Drosophila melanogaster: one gene and its partners. The protein of the gene in region 1 purifies or fractionates together with the protein of each later gene. This does not show direct contact. Each region holds a gene or a part of one and is shown on either strand. Other genes may lie near its edges. The genes, in order: Nph, Hmr and ProtA.

Region 1 (3,470 bases):
AAGGTGAGCTGACACACTGCATATATAGGGCCTAATAATTTCTATTGGCAATCAACCTAGTTTAACGGCATTGAGGTGACCATGGCCGATCTCAAGGGCAGCGTGGACTACGCGGCAGCCGAGTACTTGAAAATGTCGCTTGTGTCGCACGTGACGCAAAGAAACAGCGAGGGAAGTGCCCCCACCACACTGGTGGTCATTAAGGGACACGAGATTGCCTCAATTGATACGACAGTGGCTTTGGTGAGTGCCAGCTTTCTTTGCTGCAAACTATGACCTTTGACCCGAAACCTCTTCTCTATTCCTCGCGAAGAACCTCAAGTCACTGCGCGAAGATCTCGCCCTGCTGAAGTGCGACATGATCTGCTGGAATTGGAGTATTCCGGCGGCGGGAGTGATTTGCCGGATGGACAGGAAGCTGCGCAGTATGTTCAAGTTCTCGAAAAGCTTTCCAGACCTAATGCAAACAATTGCGGATGCCGAGGCAGCCGATTCGTGTATCGCCGTTGACTTGAGTCAATAAAGAGTGCTCTTTTGTCTTGCCGTATGTGTATCTGCGTACAGTTGCGCCAATGAATTTGGTTCGGAAAGGTGGGGTACTTAAACTATGAGGATCTTGATGGTTAAGGTATAATGATGGTTAGGTACAACTAATGAGAAATTTTAAAGCACAAATTAAAAATATTTATTATAATAAAAATTATATTCTTTAAAGAAGATGTGCTTTGATAGTTATTCTCGAAAGTTCCTAACAATATACAAAACACCTAAGTCCCTGGATTTACTGGGACAGTTGTAAAGTACCTAGTACTTCTTTGCAAGTACCTTGTACTAAAAAGAATTTATGTACCTAGCACATCCCATTGGTAATGTACCATGGCAATCGAAAGTCCGGGGCTGGTTACTCGGCGGCCGTTTGCAGATGTACAGACACAATTACCCTAGCCCACCACAACGAGCGAAAAGTTCGAGGTTGTTCTGGTCTGGGGGAAAAATGGAAACCGGTCCCTGCCCCGCCGGCCGGAAAAATGCAACGAAAAAAAAAATGAAAAAGAAAAAAAGAAGAGGACACCAACCGGCGCGCGCATACACAATTTATGGGATTTACTACATGCACTGAATGCCCCGTTTCGCATACACAATGAATGGAGTACTCACCTCGACCACGTTGAACTCGTTCTCCTTGGCCTCGGCGCCCAAGAGGATCTGTTTGATGACCAGCTTCTGGCCGCGTGCGTAGTCCTCGTCCACATCCCACGTGACGCTGTCGCTCTCGGCGGTCAAAGTGACTCCTGCGGAGGGGATATAGTCGCCATTATACTTTCTGATTCGTATCTTATTCGCGCACTCAAATCCGAGGGTTTGAGGCTAGACACACACAAATTGGCCAGCGGCAAATCTTAGAGCAAAAACACCGGCAAGCTTCGCAGACACTCCGCCTTTTCGGTGGTAAATACGCCTTCTACGCGTCCACTTTTGCCCCCTTTCGCTGCCTATAGAGTGCAACTGCTAAATTGTAATTACCGTAGAATGATTCCTCAGCCATGGTAGGTAATATTTAATATTAATTCCACACAAAACCAGCGGCGAACACGTGTTGAGCAAAATCTTTTGCAAAATGGTAGCTGTCGCAGGGTTGCCAGGCCGACGTAAGGTGCCGAAATCGATGATTGTCAGACTGGGAATCAAAATCGCAGGGCTGCCACTTGTAGTGTCCAATCGAATGTGACAATCTATATTCGTTTGTTGCAAGCTAACGCGACAGTAAAATATATTAAAAAATATTTCAAGTCTTCATTACCAGTACTTGCGAAGTTCCCAACAAATTAAACGAATAATATCGATAGTCCTGCGCTTCGATAACAGCACCGCTCAACGCTTCACACAACTGCAGCCATCGCCGTTTTACGGGCACGTGTAGAGTACAAAAGGTTCTTTTATTAATTGACTGTACATCTGTGTTCCAAGGCCTGCAAATGGAGTCCGAGTCGTTTTATGGTGAGTACCATTGCCATTTGGGCTGGAAGAGCGCTCCAATAGCCATCCCATAGCCACGCTGCGAGCAGCTCCCCTCCAGCCGGCAAAAAGCAGTCGGAAATCCAACCCTTCTCGCCGTTCGTCCACTTCCAGGTGTCACACTCAGCGAGAAGGAGGCCATCGCACAGTTCGAGGTCCCAGATGTACCCGAGGAGTACATCGTCCACTCGCACAAGCTCATCATCAAACAGATTTCCCTCGGCCCAGAAGCGAAGACCGGCGAATTCAACGTTGTACAGGTGAGCCTCGATACCGGCAATCTGCCCCGCGTCGCAGGTCGTAAATTTAAAGGCGACATGGCTGATTTAACTCATATCATATTTCGCGAAAAACTCGGAAATTATACAGTGATAAAATGCACACAAATTTAATGTTTCGCTTCCAGGCGGAGACGAACATAAACGACGATGGCGAGAAGAAAACCTTGAAGATCCCCATTGCCGTGTTGAAGGTCGGCGAGACCCGTAGCTTAAGACCAAATGTCGAGTTCCCCAATGGATCAGTGACCTTCAAACTGGTGCAGGGAAGTGGACCCGTACACGTATGCGGCAAGGTGAGCTCCATCCATCCATCCATCCATCTATCTATCTTTCTATCTACTTTGGGTTCCTGTTCCTAACAAATTGCCGTACCCTCAGGTCGAGATGAACTTTGGCGAGTTTGACGACGGTCAGATTTACGAGGAGTATTCGGACGAGGAGGAGGATAGCGAACTGGAATTCGACGAAGAAGCAGCTCCTCAGACGAACGGCAAGAGTAATAAGAAGAAGTAGAAACACATTACACTCCAGTAAGCTAACTAAATGATCCGAAAAAAATAAAAACTTCAATACGACTTTAATAATGTAAAGAAACCATCCAATTATAATGACCTTTTGTTTTTGGTCTATATTATATGGAATTTTATTCATTCTGTGTTGCGTATGTTCAAATATGTCACTTAATGTAAACGAATTGTGGCAGTTTTAAGAAGAATGCTCACGGAAGATTAAAACAAAAGGAACCCACTGGGTTTTTGTGCTAATTACAGGCTCGGGCCACCGAAATCTTCTGGCGTGGCACTCTGAAAGTATAGATTGGTGGTTGGTTATCAGTATATAATTATAAAGTAGGAGGCTGAGCGCCTACCGTATGTGAATCACTCGACGCCTCTCGTCACTGGGATGTATAAGGTCCAGTTTCTGGCTCCACTCAATCAGCTTCATTTCATGGCGCAGCTTCTTGCGGTCGAAGTAAGATATGACGCAACTGATGGGAATCCAAAAGACTGCAGTGACGAGGACAACGGCCACTGAAAATATGATTGAGCAAGTGTGGCTTAGTGGGGATCTTCAGAATGTAATATTTAAGATTGCAATACTTACTGACAATGTTGTCCTTGAGAAACCTCAAGGTCTTGGCCACATTTATCTCCTCGATGATGTCCCAGAAGC
Region 2 (7,073 bases), on another chromosome or scaffold:
GAAACAACGAGGATGGCGCAGTATCTCCTCTATACGCTGGCGCAGCAAATCGGGCAATCTCTCCGCCAACCGGCGTTCCACTCCCGACTTAGTTGTAATATTGAAAAGGGCCATTACCAGACAAATTCGCTCCATATCCTTGAGGCGGGCAGTCTCTAACTCACGCTCGAATCTCAGCAGTATGCGCTCCACCAGTGCATCATTGCACGTTTGCAGTTCACAGCCCAGAAGAGCCATGTGCAGGCACGTGAGGAGGGAAACGCGATCCACTTGCGACTCTAGAGCGCTTAACATCTTCTTTAGCGGCTCCACTTGTGGCAGCTTGCTGCTGTACCGCAGCACCTTGAGCAGCGCTACCAGGACAATGTCTTCCACGGTGTCCAGCTCGCTGCCTAATCGCTGATAGAGTTGCGTTAGCAGCTCCGGATTTCTGATAGGCGTCTGTGTCTTAAAGAAGCCCATGGCCATTACGCCCAATTCGGACAGCGTCATTTGATCCACGCAGCGGGCCAGATTCAACTCGAAATCGAACATCTCGAAGACGGGTCGGCGCAGTAGATTGCACAGGAACATGGAGTGAACGAGCTGTTCTGGCGGCAGCTTTCGCAGCTTGCGGCCGAGCTTTTTCAGCGCCAGCCACACGTACTCGCCTATCCTGACCAGACCAAGACGATACCAGGCATCGCTCACGAGTAGCAATTGTTCACTGGACCATCGCTCGATGCGGCGACAGCACTCGATGTCCAGGGTATTCCATATCTCCATGTAGTTCTTGGCTTTGGGCGATTCCGGTACGGGCAGCTCGGCCAAGGCACTAAGCGATCCAAGAAGTTGTTCATCCGTAAGGCGATGCAGCTGCTCACAGAAGCAGCGGGTAAAGGCTTCGTAGCGGCTATCGCTGATCTTCAGTTCCATGCGATTACAGTGCCTCACCAGGCCTAAAAAGTCCGCATAGAGATCGGCAGCACTGGCATCTGGCTGTGGCCGCATAAAGCCTTCAGATGCGGGCAAATCCTGCCAGGCGGAGTCCCGAGGACGCAGTATTGCATACGGTTTGAGAGAATCCATCAGGATTCCATGGGCGAACTGATTCTCTCGGTCCGCAAATATTCGCGCTGGTGAAACGATCGTCGTGCATACTTGGCGGCGCAGACGTCCCACACTTCGCCAGAGGTAGTTTGTTCTTGCCCACATGTTTTAGAGCGATATTTGGTTGTAAATTAATTCAATTCAATTGAATTTGAATGGAAAACGCGTTATGAAAACATTCGTTGAAAAACCTGCCGGCTAAACAGCTGACTGGTAAGCAGCGTTGCCAGAACGAAGAAATTGGAGTGCTCGCAAGTGGGAGAACTTAACGAAATATTCTGCTCTCAGCGCTTGGCTGCTATCGATAACTCCACTGATATCCAAATGGGTAGCTACTAGAATGTAGCTTTACAAATTGTAACGTGTTTTTTCAACTTATTTTTGTTTAACTTAACACAAACAAAAATATTTAGCTATACAATTCTATTTCACACTCAAATATTAATCGAATGTTTCGATAACGGTATCCGTGGTCGATAACGCTCTTTAACCATTTTGCGTTTGCAACCGCCGACTATCTGGCGTCGCAAGAAACCTTATTTACGTAGATATATTTACGTAGATACGCTTGCACTTAATAATCCTGTAGTTGCAAGTTGTTCCCAAACTATTTCCGAGTGATTTTATGCTACAAAAGAGTGAAGAGTGAAGCAGTGGTTCCATCGGATTGCCCACCGGTTTCTCCGTTCCGAGAATTCTCGACGGCTTGTGTGGGGGAAAGGCGCGCGTAGGTCAAGATTGGAGCTATCAGGTGTCTAGGACATGGAGGAGGAGCCTGTTGCCATTGAAAATGATTGCCAGATAATTGTTTGTAAGTCCGACAGTTGGTCACCTGGTCAGCCGTTCAACTAACTTCCGTTTTTTTTTTTCCTCAAAGCTGACACAATTGGTCAGAAGACGAATGGCGTGGATGACGATAAGGCCCCAAATCCGTTCAGCAGATGCACTTATCCGGGATCTCGGGATGGCGGCATTCTGCAAACCTATAGGGCAGAGAGGCTGCTCATCGCTTTGGTACGCCGCCAGCCGCTATTGTATGACGCCCGGCATCCGAAATTCCGCGACGTCGCTCAAAGGGAGAAACAATGGAAAAAAATCGCCAGCCGCCTGGCAACGAATGCGACCAACTGCAAGAGATCCTGGTCGGCGCTGCGATATAAATATCAGCGCCATGTTCGTCGTCTAAGAAACTTTCATCGCAGTGCCATCCAAAAAGATCGGGCGGCCCTGCGTTGGCGTCCTTGCATGGAATACGAGGAAGAGATGCGCTTCATGTATACCCATGTGGCCAGATTCCCACTGATTGTCGACAAGATTCCGACAGAGATTCTTGAAAAAGAGCATGTGGATGAGAGCGAAACCCGGCCCGATGTGGAGGTCATAGAGAATCCGCCAATGGACATCATAGATTTGGATGTCGAGGAGGACCCCACCTATAACTACCGTTGCAACAGGTTACAGCGTCGCCTCATAGAGGCAGTCAGTGCCTATCCCCTTCTGTACGATAGCACGTGCACGGGCTATCAGAACACACGACATCGCTTTCTAATCTGGAGTGCCATTTCAAACGAAGTCCATGACAAAGCCACCAAGCTGATGAAGTGCTGGCTAAAGCTGCAGACTCGCTACGAATGGGAGTTAATCCATCGCCCACGTCATATCGGCACTTCGGAGCTGTGTCGGTTGATGGACTTCATGGAACCGCACGTACAGCGCATGCGCGGCACCGTATGCAAGTCTTCCAAGTACCTGCAAAACGGTTGGCACGAGCCCATTGAGAATTTCCACACTGTGATGGCGCTGATCACCACGATGCGCAACATGCCAGAACTAGTTCAGCTGACGGAGGACTCCCTGCACAACAAGGTGAAACCGCCGCGCTACGACGAATTCTGGCAGAAGGTCGGCATGGAAGTGATGTGTAGTCACGAGCACTGCGAGGTCACCTGGCTGGTGCTGCGCGCCTTTTACCACGAATTGCAGGCCGTGCGCTCATCCGGCTATCAGCTGCAGGACAAGTGGTTCTTTGAGGGCTCCATGGGTCTGGCCTTAACGCCAGTTACCTCTCGTTCCACGGCCCGTCCCGCACTAAAGCGGACAGCCAACGGCGCCATACCAGTGGCGGGGGAGCCTCCGGCCAAAACACCGGTGCCGGTACGTATGCCATTGGCTATTGTCTATCCGTCCACCTCAAAAGGCAGCAGCACGAGCATGACCAACAGTGCAAGCACTGCCACAAGCATTGGCCCCACCTTCACCAATGTTAGGAGGTCCTCTGGCCCAGTCATTAACAACACATCCACCGCCGCCGCCGCAACGAACAGCGTCAGTTCGAGTGTATCGCCCGATCAAGCTCTTCCCAAGTTTGTGATTCCCAAAATCACGTCCGCCATCAGTGTGGGCTCGGGATATATGATACCCCTAAAGTTTGTGCCCAACGTACGAATTTTGCCCAAGCCGGCGGCGACTATGGGAACGGGCGTGTCCCCCATCGCCACCACCAATCAGATGGCGGGCCCAAACGCAAAGCCGCCTGAAGTGCGTCCACAGATAACGCAGGGTCCTGGCTTACAGGTTAAGCTCCATACGAAGCCTCAAATGGCCAGTAGACCGCAAATGGCACCTGTAGTCCCCCGCACTGTAATTCGAACAACGAATCCAACCAATCCAGCTCAAACTCAAGACAGGGTATCCGGAGGGCCAATGTCGACACTGGGTGAACTGCTTAGGCCACAAAATCCATCGCAAATACGTTCACCAGCTCCGCAACAAACACTGCCAAATTTTGTACCAATAACAACATCGAATATTACAGCTAAAAGCAATCTGCCAACACCCACTGCGGCTCCAATGGTACGAATACACCAGCCGGGACTGAAAAGCGCTTGGGATGGCAAAAGCAATAGCGCTCCGTTCAGTAAGCCAATAAGATCACTATTAACCACATCTTCGCCTGCAGCTGCTCCTATTGTAGCAACTGCGGAACCAGCGAGAGCAAAAATAATACCACCAAAGCCCAAATTGCCAGCAACAACATTAGTAAACCCCAAAAAATATCAACCAATCGTACCGGTAGCAGTACTACCTACAGCAGCAACCAGGATGGCCAAACCTGCAACAGAACCAGCAACTGAGCTGCCTGTAACTACGCCACCAATCGCCACTGGACAAACAACTCGAGTCATACGAAAAACACCATTATTTCCTACATCTGCAACACAAGCTGCATCTGACTCATATGCCACAATACAGGGCACATTAGCAAGCCAGGCTAAAGCTGTGGGAGCAGCAATATCAGCACCAGTGGTCAGACCAGCCAAATTGCCGACAGTAGCCAAGGCAACAACAGCATCGCAGTCAGATATAAAAGCAACTGCAGCCGCATCCGCAACCCTAGGCAGTCAGCCGGAGAACTTGCCGCTTGGCAACATAACCGTGTGTCTGCACGAGAGTGATACCACTGGGAATGAACTGCAAGTTTGGTGCGGAAATCAGGGTACTCGCTTCAATCTCAATATGATTAGGACGACGACGTTGATCCGCGAGGTGATGGCTGTGCCGCAGCTGCACAAGGAAGATCCACAGTTGGCGGCCAAGTGTGTTGAGTTCTGGCATTTTATCGCCAAGAAGTTTCACATGCCAGGTAGGAGTAACTATATATATATTAGAAACATTGGCTCATACGTTCTTTTGTTCTGCAGAGGAAGCTTTGCGCGCATGCTGGAAATTCTTGGCGGCCAACATGAGTGTGTTTCCAAAAATTGCGCCGATGTCGGAACTGATGCGTCCGTTTAAGTACAGCGAAAAAGTGTGGGAAAAATCGAATCGCTTGTTTGGCAAATTTGACGAGATAGCGCTAAAATACCAGTGGTTGAATCACAAGAACGTGTTGCCGGAAGTAATACGCTTCTTCGCGAAGTACGAGTACCTCTACTGCGATTTACGCAGGCCGCGACCTGGCGAAGATGCTCAAGCTCCGCCCCAGTTGACGAATCAGGAGAAGCAGGAGGTGTGGCGGGAGGCCCGCCTTAAATTCCCAAATCGTATGTTTAATAAATGTTATAAGCCAATCATTTATTAGTAATTTTCTGTTCTTTTGCAGTCAATCATCGGGATATTTGGTCAATGTTTAAGTTCGCCTTCCGCACATACCTGGATGATTTAGAGCGCGGCATCGATAATCCCTGGCCGCAGAATTGGTGGCAGGCACTGGAGCAACTCAGGTTTCTGGTCAATGTGCGCTACCATCCGCTCGAGCCCTACTACTATATAGTGCACAACAGGATGTCAGAGGAGGTGAAGCGCTGCAAAATGCACGAGGCTCTAACGTCCTCCGATCATATCGATAAGACCAAATTTACACCGAGCAAACTTTTAACGGGCTTTTCCAAAGAACCCAAGCCATGGGAGACGGAGGAGGCCAAGCGCTTGCTTACCGGCAAGTTGAATAGCGTGAGAAGCACTGAAACTCTCACTCAAATTGCTCCAGCTCCGGCTCTAGCTTTGGCACCCGATGCCCAACCTATTCCTGTACCTGATGGCGTTTCCGTGTCCAAAAAGACAAGCGAAAGCAAGCCAGCGTCAAACGCCAACGTCAAGTCTCATAAAGACAAGAATATCTCCACCGCCCAAAAGCGGCCGACCCCAGCGAGAAGTGTCACCTGTAACAATCTATCCCCCATTGAGGCGTTTGAGTTGTGTAAGAAATTGCGTAGCCAACCAAACAGCTTCGAGCGGGCGAGCACTCTGGACAAGCGAGCCGCCTGGGTTCGCGTATCAAAGGAGTTGCATGCCACAGGTAATCATTTGCAAATATGTCAATTTAGACATTTGATTAAAAGTACATATTTTGCAGTGACCGAATGCCGCCTTGGTCTGCAGTACGCTCTGCGCGAGATGCGCAATCTGAAGATCGCCGATCCAAGCAATCAATGTACAATGGGCCACAAGTACTTGCACCACATGTCGGAAATCTATAAGCAGGTGAAGCCGAACGCCCAGCTGACAGTCCGCACGCCACAGCAGCTCAACCAGTTAAACGAATCGCTTGCGAAGAACACTCAGGAAGTTAGCCCGCAGGAGTTCCTGCCTGAGATCAATTTGTCCACTTGCAGTCCGGATCTCGTGGTGAAGAATTGGGCCTACGCCGTCGGTAACTTGTCCACGGCCAGTCAGGATACACTGCTCGGCAAGATGACGCAGCTGTTCTCTAAATACGCCAAGGTCAATCCGCCACCGCCTTAGCTCTCGAAACTTTTGGCACACGTAGTTTAGTCATACATATTCTCTGTAAGAACTTTCGCCGTACCATTGACACCCTTCATTGCCACAGAATACATCTTATTTATTATTAAGTGCATGAAATTGCAATAACTTTTTTTTTTTTTTTAAGAGCCCTCTAGAATAACTTGAATAAATGGCCACAGTCAACTTTCATATGATGTTTTGCACTGGGACTGTTAAATTTAAGATTTTAAGAGTTCCTGAGTACCATAGGTATAATACCAAACTGAAACTTGCGCAATAATAAACAGTATCTAATGTTGTTAGACGCTTAAAGTCGCAGAATGATAGCGATGAGGGCAAGGCCCCATGATTATATGTCGGTCAGCCGGCCCCGCCCACTTGTATGGCCTCTCCGAGGACATGAAAGTAAGCCCGAATAAATTGGGCGTGCAATTGGGAAAAGATTTGATTGCCAAGTTCCTGGAGGAGTGGCTAGATAATAAGGCGCACGTAAAACACAGGGGATGATTGTCTAGGACAAAGGAATGGCCAAACTATTTGACGATATACTATTTAAAGGATTTTAGTAATCCTCCCACATTTCTTTCGAAATGACGAACAGTAAACAACGGTTACTTTTTGGCTCTACCACCTTCTTCGCCAAGTTATAAGGAAAATATCAGATTTTCCTTTTTGCAGTTTTTTGTTAAAAAAAAATCACAATTTCTTCGAAAGCAATTAAAATAATTGTCCAAATG
Region 3 (4,848 bases), on another chromosome or scaffold:
ATGTCGGATGGATGTGGCCCTCCTATCTGGCTTTAAACTAATGCCGGGGCAGTCTGTCGACAGGCAACCACCTTGCCACGCCCCACGCCTTGTAATGACGTTATTTACATGCTGCAACAACACTGGCAGCAAGCGCGGGCAATTAAATAAATCATAGCGGTTCACGCGGTTCGGCCGAAAGAAAGATCCAGTTAATCTAAAGAGAAACTCTTAGTTCTTTCTTTCGTTGTCAGAGTGAAATTGTAAATAAATTACACGTCCTGATTGATCAACTTTTTGTTCGTTACAAAACAACGTCGGGAATCAGATTGCAACTGTTATTAATTATGGGCTTTGTTGCAGTTGCAACCGCTTGTCTCCTGCTGTTCAGGTCTTCATCCTGGTCGGTAGGGCTTGGGCTTTACTTTTGGTTTGAGACTCGGATTGCTCACTGAATAAGTGACTTCTCTAGGACGCAACTCTGCGGCTTCTGGGGCCAACACTCACATGCGGGGGGAACATACTCCATCACAGTTGATGGCTGACATCGTACACAACAAATAAATCCCATATAAAACTTCCCTTTCCTTTTCTTTTCAGAGTTTGTAAAAATTTTCTACGATGAGTTCAAATAATGTAAATGAGTGCAAGAGCCTGTGGAATGGCATAATTTCCATTTCTGCAAAAGATGAAAGTCCTAAAGGTCTCACTGAAATGTGTAATCATCCAAAGAGGAGAGCACCGCCCAAATGTAAGCCAATGAAGTCCTGTGCAAAGCCGCGCCGAAAGGCAGCCTGTGCCAAGGCGACTCGGCCCAAGGTCAAGTGTGCACCGAGTCAGAAGTGCAGCAAGCAGGGACCTGTCACTAACAACGCCTATTTGAATTTCGTGCGTTTCTTCCGAAAGAAGCACTGTGACTTGAAGCCGCAGGAATTAATTGCAGAGGCCGCTAAAGCGTGGGCCGAGCTCCCGGAGCATAGAAAGGATAGATACCGCCGGATGGTACGTATTTTTTTTTTATATTATGAAGACTATTAATTTGTCCTTTCAGGCATGCAAGGTCACCACCAGTGAACGCCACAAGCGCCGACGGATTTGCAAGTAATACTGAGATAGGAAAAAGTCTGATGCAGTTAAGTCCAGGCATATATTTTCATTGATTTGATACCATTCGATGAATTTAGAAATAAAAAAAATTAAAAACCGGGTTTCATTTTTTTTACGATTCTAGGATGTTGGAATAGCGCGAATGGGTATTTGTGGTTGTTCCAGGTGCCCGGCGAAATTCAATTTATTATTCCACTATATGAGCTTTCTAATGAGCTGTGATCCAAAGAAATGAAACGGCTGAGTGGTAAATGGGCACGGCAATGGTGAATTCGAAGATATGGATAGGCTTCTGCTTCAAGCTTTTCCACAGTTCTCTGACCAGGCGTCTGTTGTGAGACAATCGAAATACCCAAAAATTGTTTCACATAATTTATGCCACCTATGAGGAAAACTTGCCACACTGCCACTGGCAAAGGGAAACATGGGGGCGTAACCACCTAACAGAAGGATGTTTCCCAGGATGCGTATCCGCCGGCGTCGTTTCGATCAAATCTAACTTTATTCCATATAGTTGGCGTAGGTTTTGCCGTATACCCCTTATACCGGGCAGTCGGTTTTTTTAAACATTAGTTGTAACTTGGTACACAAACAGTTCACAAGCAAAATTTTTCCAAAAGTCTTATTTTTATGCTCTTCTTAAAAATTAGTTGTGACAAAAATTTGGTTTAAAAAAAAAAACTTTATAAAGGTAAGTGAAATAAAACGAATTACAATTTATTTTTACAGAACAACATACCATACAAATTATTTTAAACGAAGCGCATAATTATTTTTTATTGGTATGCCAATCAGTTTCGATAAACTTCATTTGAAAAAATTTTACTTTCAAAAATTTCTTTTAAAGAAGCTTTTGTGAAATTCAGTTCTGTAAATGCATTGTGATGCGATTAAATTAATGTCGACTGTCGACGTGGCGTGTTTGCCTCGATATCGGATGGATGTGGCCCTCCTATCTGGCTTTAAACTAATGCCGGGGGTAGTCTGTCGACAGGCAACCACCTTGCCACGCCCCACGCCTTGTAATGACGTCATTTACATGCTGCAACAACACTGGCAGCAAGCGCGGGCAATTAAATAAATCATAGCGGTTCACGCGGTTCGGCCGAAAGAAAGATCGAGTTAATGTGAAGAGAAACTCTTAGTTCTTTCTTTCGTTGTCAGAGTGAAATTGTAAATAAATTACACGTCCTGATTGATCAACTTTTTGCTCGTTGACAACCATAAAAGGGCAGTAGACAGGGGGCACACTGTCATTGTGGCCGAAAATGTCCAGGCAGCCGCTCGTAAACATAAATCCAAGTGACGCTAATTGTTTGTTGCAATTACTGCTGCAGTTGTTGCCACCGTTCAGTTACGTGTGCAGCCAAATGGGGCAATGAGTGGGGTTTTGGGCTAAGGGGTGGTGAGTAGGGACTTGTGCTTGCATGCAAATTTTGTTGCATCTGCAGTTGCTGCTGCTTGTGCTGCTGCTTGTGCTGCTGTTGACGCTGCAGCAACGGCAAACAATTACTCAAACATTGTTGCATCTGCTGCTGATGTTGCTGGCACTCATCTCGTTGTGCGTGCTAAATGGCAACTACTCTGGCGGCTAATGATAATCACTCGACGCCCTCAGCTCCTGTCGGTTCCTACTTAGTTTTACCTGCCCTCGTTGGCTTTTAAATCTAGTTTAGCACTTAATCAATCAAGGCTTCCTTTCATTGAAGAAAAATAGCTTTGAAGATAACTTCCTCCCGGCGAAGCCCCAATAATATCCATTCAACTCGTGCTGTTTTTTTTTATATTGATCCACAAGATAATTTTAAGTTCGAAGAGCCAAAAGGAGCATATTGGGCCTTCAATGAAGCTCTCTAGCTAAAGCGAATTTTGTATTCCAACTGGGTGTTCAGTGGGGTTTGATAGACAATGCAGGCAGTGTGGTGCGATGGCACAGCTGGTCACAAATTGTAATTTGTACACATCCATAACGATTTCAAATTAATATTTCGAATTAATATTTGTCAAGCCCAAAATATCAGCTGTGGGTGGCAAATAAATTGCTCGGATTTGAGGAAACTTCAGTAATCTTGAATTATACAGATATTGGTTTAGCTTTTTTATCCTTGGAGAGTCCTTCTATTAATTATTTACCACTGCCCATTTGCTGTCGGGTACTAATTTTCATTACAAACTACTGTAGATTTCCATGACAATTATATAACCAGTTCTTAATACTCATTGGTCTTGGCTAAGAACCGCCACTTAGGCTCCCACACATGGTGACTAAACGTCGGTTGTCGGGAGGCAGCTTGCAACTGTTATTAATTATGGGCTTTGTTGCAGTTGCAACCGCTTGTCTCCTGCTGTTCAGATCTTCATCCTGGTCGGTAGGGCTTGGGCTTTACTTCTGGTTTGAGACTCGGGTTGCTCACTGATTAAGTGACTTCTCTAGGACGCAACTCTGCGGCTTCTGGGGCCAACACTCACATGCGGGGGGAACATACTCCATCACAGTTGATGGCTGACATCGTACACAACAAATAAATCCCATATAAAACTTCCCTTTCCTTTTCTTTTCAGAGTTTGTAAAAATTTTCTACGATGAGTTCAAATAATGTAAATGAGTGCAAGAGCCTGTGGAATGGCATAATTTCCATTTCTGCAAAAGATGAAAGTCCTAAAGGTCTCACTGAAATGTGTAATCATCCAATAAGGAGAGCACCTCAAAAATGTAAGCCAATGAAGTCCTGTGCAAAGCCGCGCCGAAAGGCAGCCTGTGCCAAGGCGACTCGGCCCAAGGTCAAGTGTGCACCGAGGCAGAAGTGCAGCAAGCAGGGACCTGTCACTAACAACGCCTATTTGAATTTTGTGCGTTCCTTCCGAAAGAAGCACTGTAACTTGAAACCGCGGGAATTAATTGCAAAGGCCGCTAAAGCGTGGGCCAGGCTCTCGGAGAATAGAAAGGATCGATACCGCCGGATGGTACGTATATTTTTTATGTTATGAAGACTATTCATTGGTGTCCTTTCAGGCATGCAAGGTCACCACCAGTGAACGCCACAAGCGCCGACGGATTTGCCAGCAATACTGAGATAGGAAAAAGTCTGATGCAGTTAAGTCCAGGCATATCCTTTCCTAACATTCGATGAATTTAGAAATAAAAACCAATTAAAAATCGTGTACTTTTTATTACGATTCTAGGATGTTGGAATAGCGCGAATGGGTATTTGTGGTTGTTTCCAGGTGCCCGTCGAATTTCAATTTATTATTCCACTATATGAGCTTTTGCATGAATAGATAATGAGCTGTGATCCGAGGAAATGGAACGGGAAAACTGCTAAGGCTGAGCGGTAAATGGGCACGGCATTGGGAATTCGAAGGTATAGGAGGAGTTGCGTGTGCTTCAAGCTTTCCAGAGTTCTCTGACCCGTCGTCTGTTCTGAGACAGCTAAATTGAATTATTAATAACACGCAGTGCCCGCAATGTTATGGATGCCATAAACCCGTTTCTGCAACTGTTCTGTGAGTAAATGTAATGCACATTGTGGTTTTGGGAAGACAACCTTGGGACAGTTGGCAAAAATAGCAAACGAAAAGGCGAATGGAACGGAACGGACTAATCGCAGCACTTACGACCATAATTTGTCAATTTTCGAAACAATTCCCAAGGCTCGCATAAATTGTCTGGTGGCCTCCTGTCTCCTTTTCCCTGTCGTTGGCTTTTGGCACCCATTACAGCTCATTTCTCTTACTCAGAGAAACATTGCGCAGTGAAAAATG

What was found.
Region 2: the proteins of Nph (region 1) and Hmr purify together in Drosophila melanogaster (affinity purification with western blotting, with the first as the bait; one study listed by BioGRID). This does not show direct contact.
Region 3: the proteins of Nph (region 1) and ProtA purify together in Drosophila melanogaster (affinity purification with western blotting; 2 studies listed by BioGRID, with this or other methods). This does not show direct contact.

The regions. Positions count from the first base shown.
Region 1 is NT_033777.3:30,003,110-30,006,579, reverse strand, and holds Nph (nucleophosmin), read left to right. Parts: upstream 1-1,718; 5' UTR 1,719-1,976; coding exon 1,977-1,998; intron 1,999-2,130; coding exon 2,131-2,276; intron 2,277-2,422; coding exon 2,423-2,590; intron 2,591-2,675; coding exon 2,676-2,810; 3' UTR 2,811-2,899; downstream 2,900-3,470. Other genes in the region: CG7912 (uncharacterized protein), read left to right, coding at 1-3, 61-243, 314-523; Nlp (nucleoplasmin), read right to left, coding at 1,159-1,292, 1,525-1,546; tace, read right to left, coding at 3,058-3,100, 3,166-3,328, 3,402-3,470.
Region 2 is NC_004354.4:10,590,371-10,597,443, reverse strand, and holds Hmr (hybrid male rescue), read left to right. Parts: upstream 1-1,588; 5' UTR 1,589-1,851; coding exon 1,852-1,900; intron 1,901-1,966; coding exon 1,967-4,732; intron 4,733-4,790; coding exon 4,791-5,132; intron 5,133-5,191; coding exon 5,192-5,887; intron 5,888-5,944; coding exon 5,945-6,333; 3' UTR 6,334-6,524; downstream 6,525-7,073. Other genes in the region: CG2124 (uncharacterized protein), read right to left, coding at 1-1,194.
Region 3 is NT_033779.5:14,878,440-14,883,287, reverse strand, and holds ProtA (protamine A), read left to right. Parts: upstream 1-1,635; 5' UTR 1,636-1,777; intron 1,778-3,648; 5' UTR 3,649-3,669; coding exon 3,670-4,050; intron 4,051-4,099; coding exon 4,100-4,159; 3' UTR 4,160-4,238; downstream 4,239-4,848. Other genes in the region: ProtB (protamine B), read left to right, coding at 601-981, 1,031-1,084.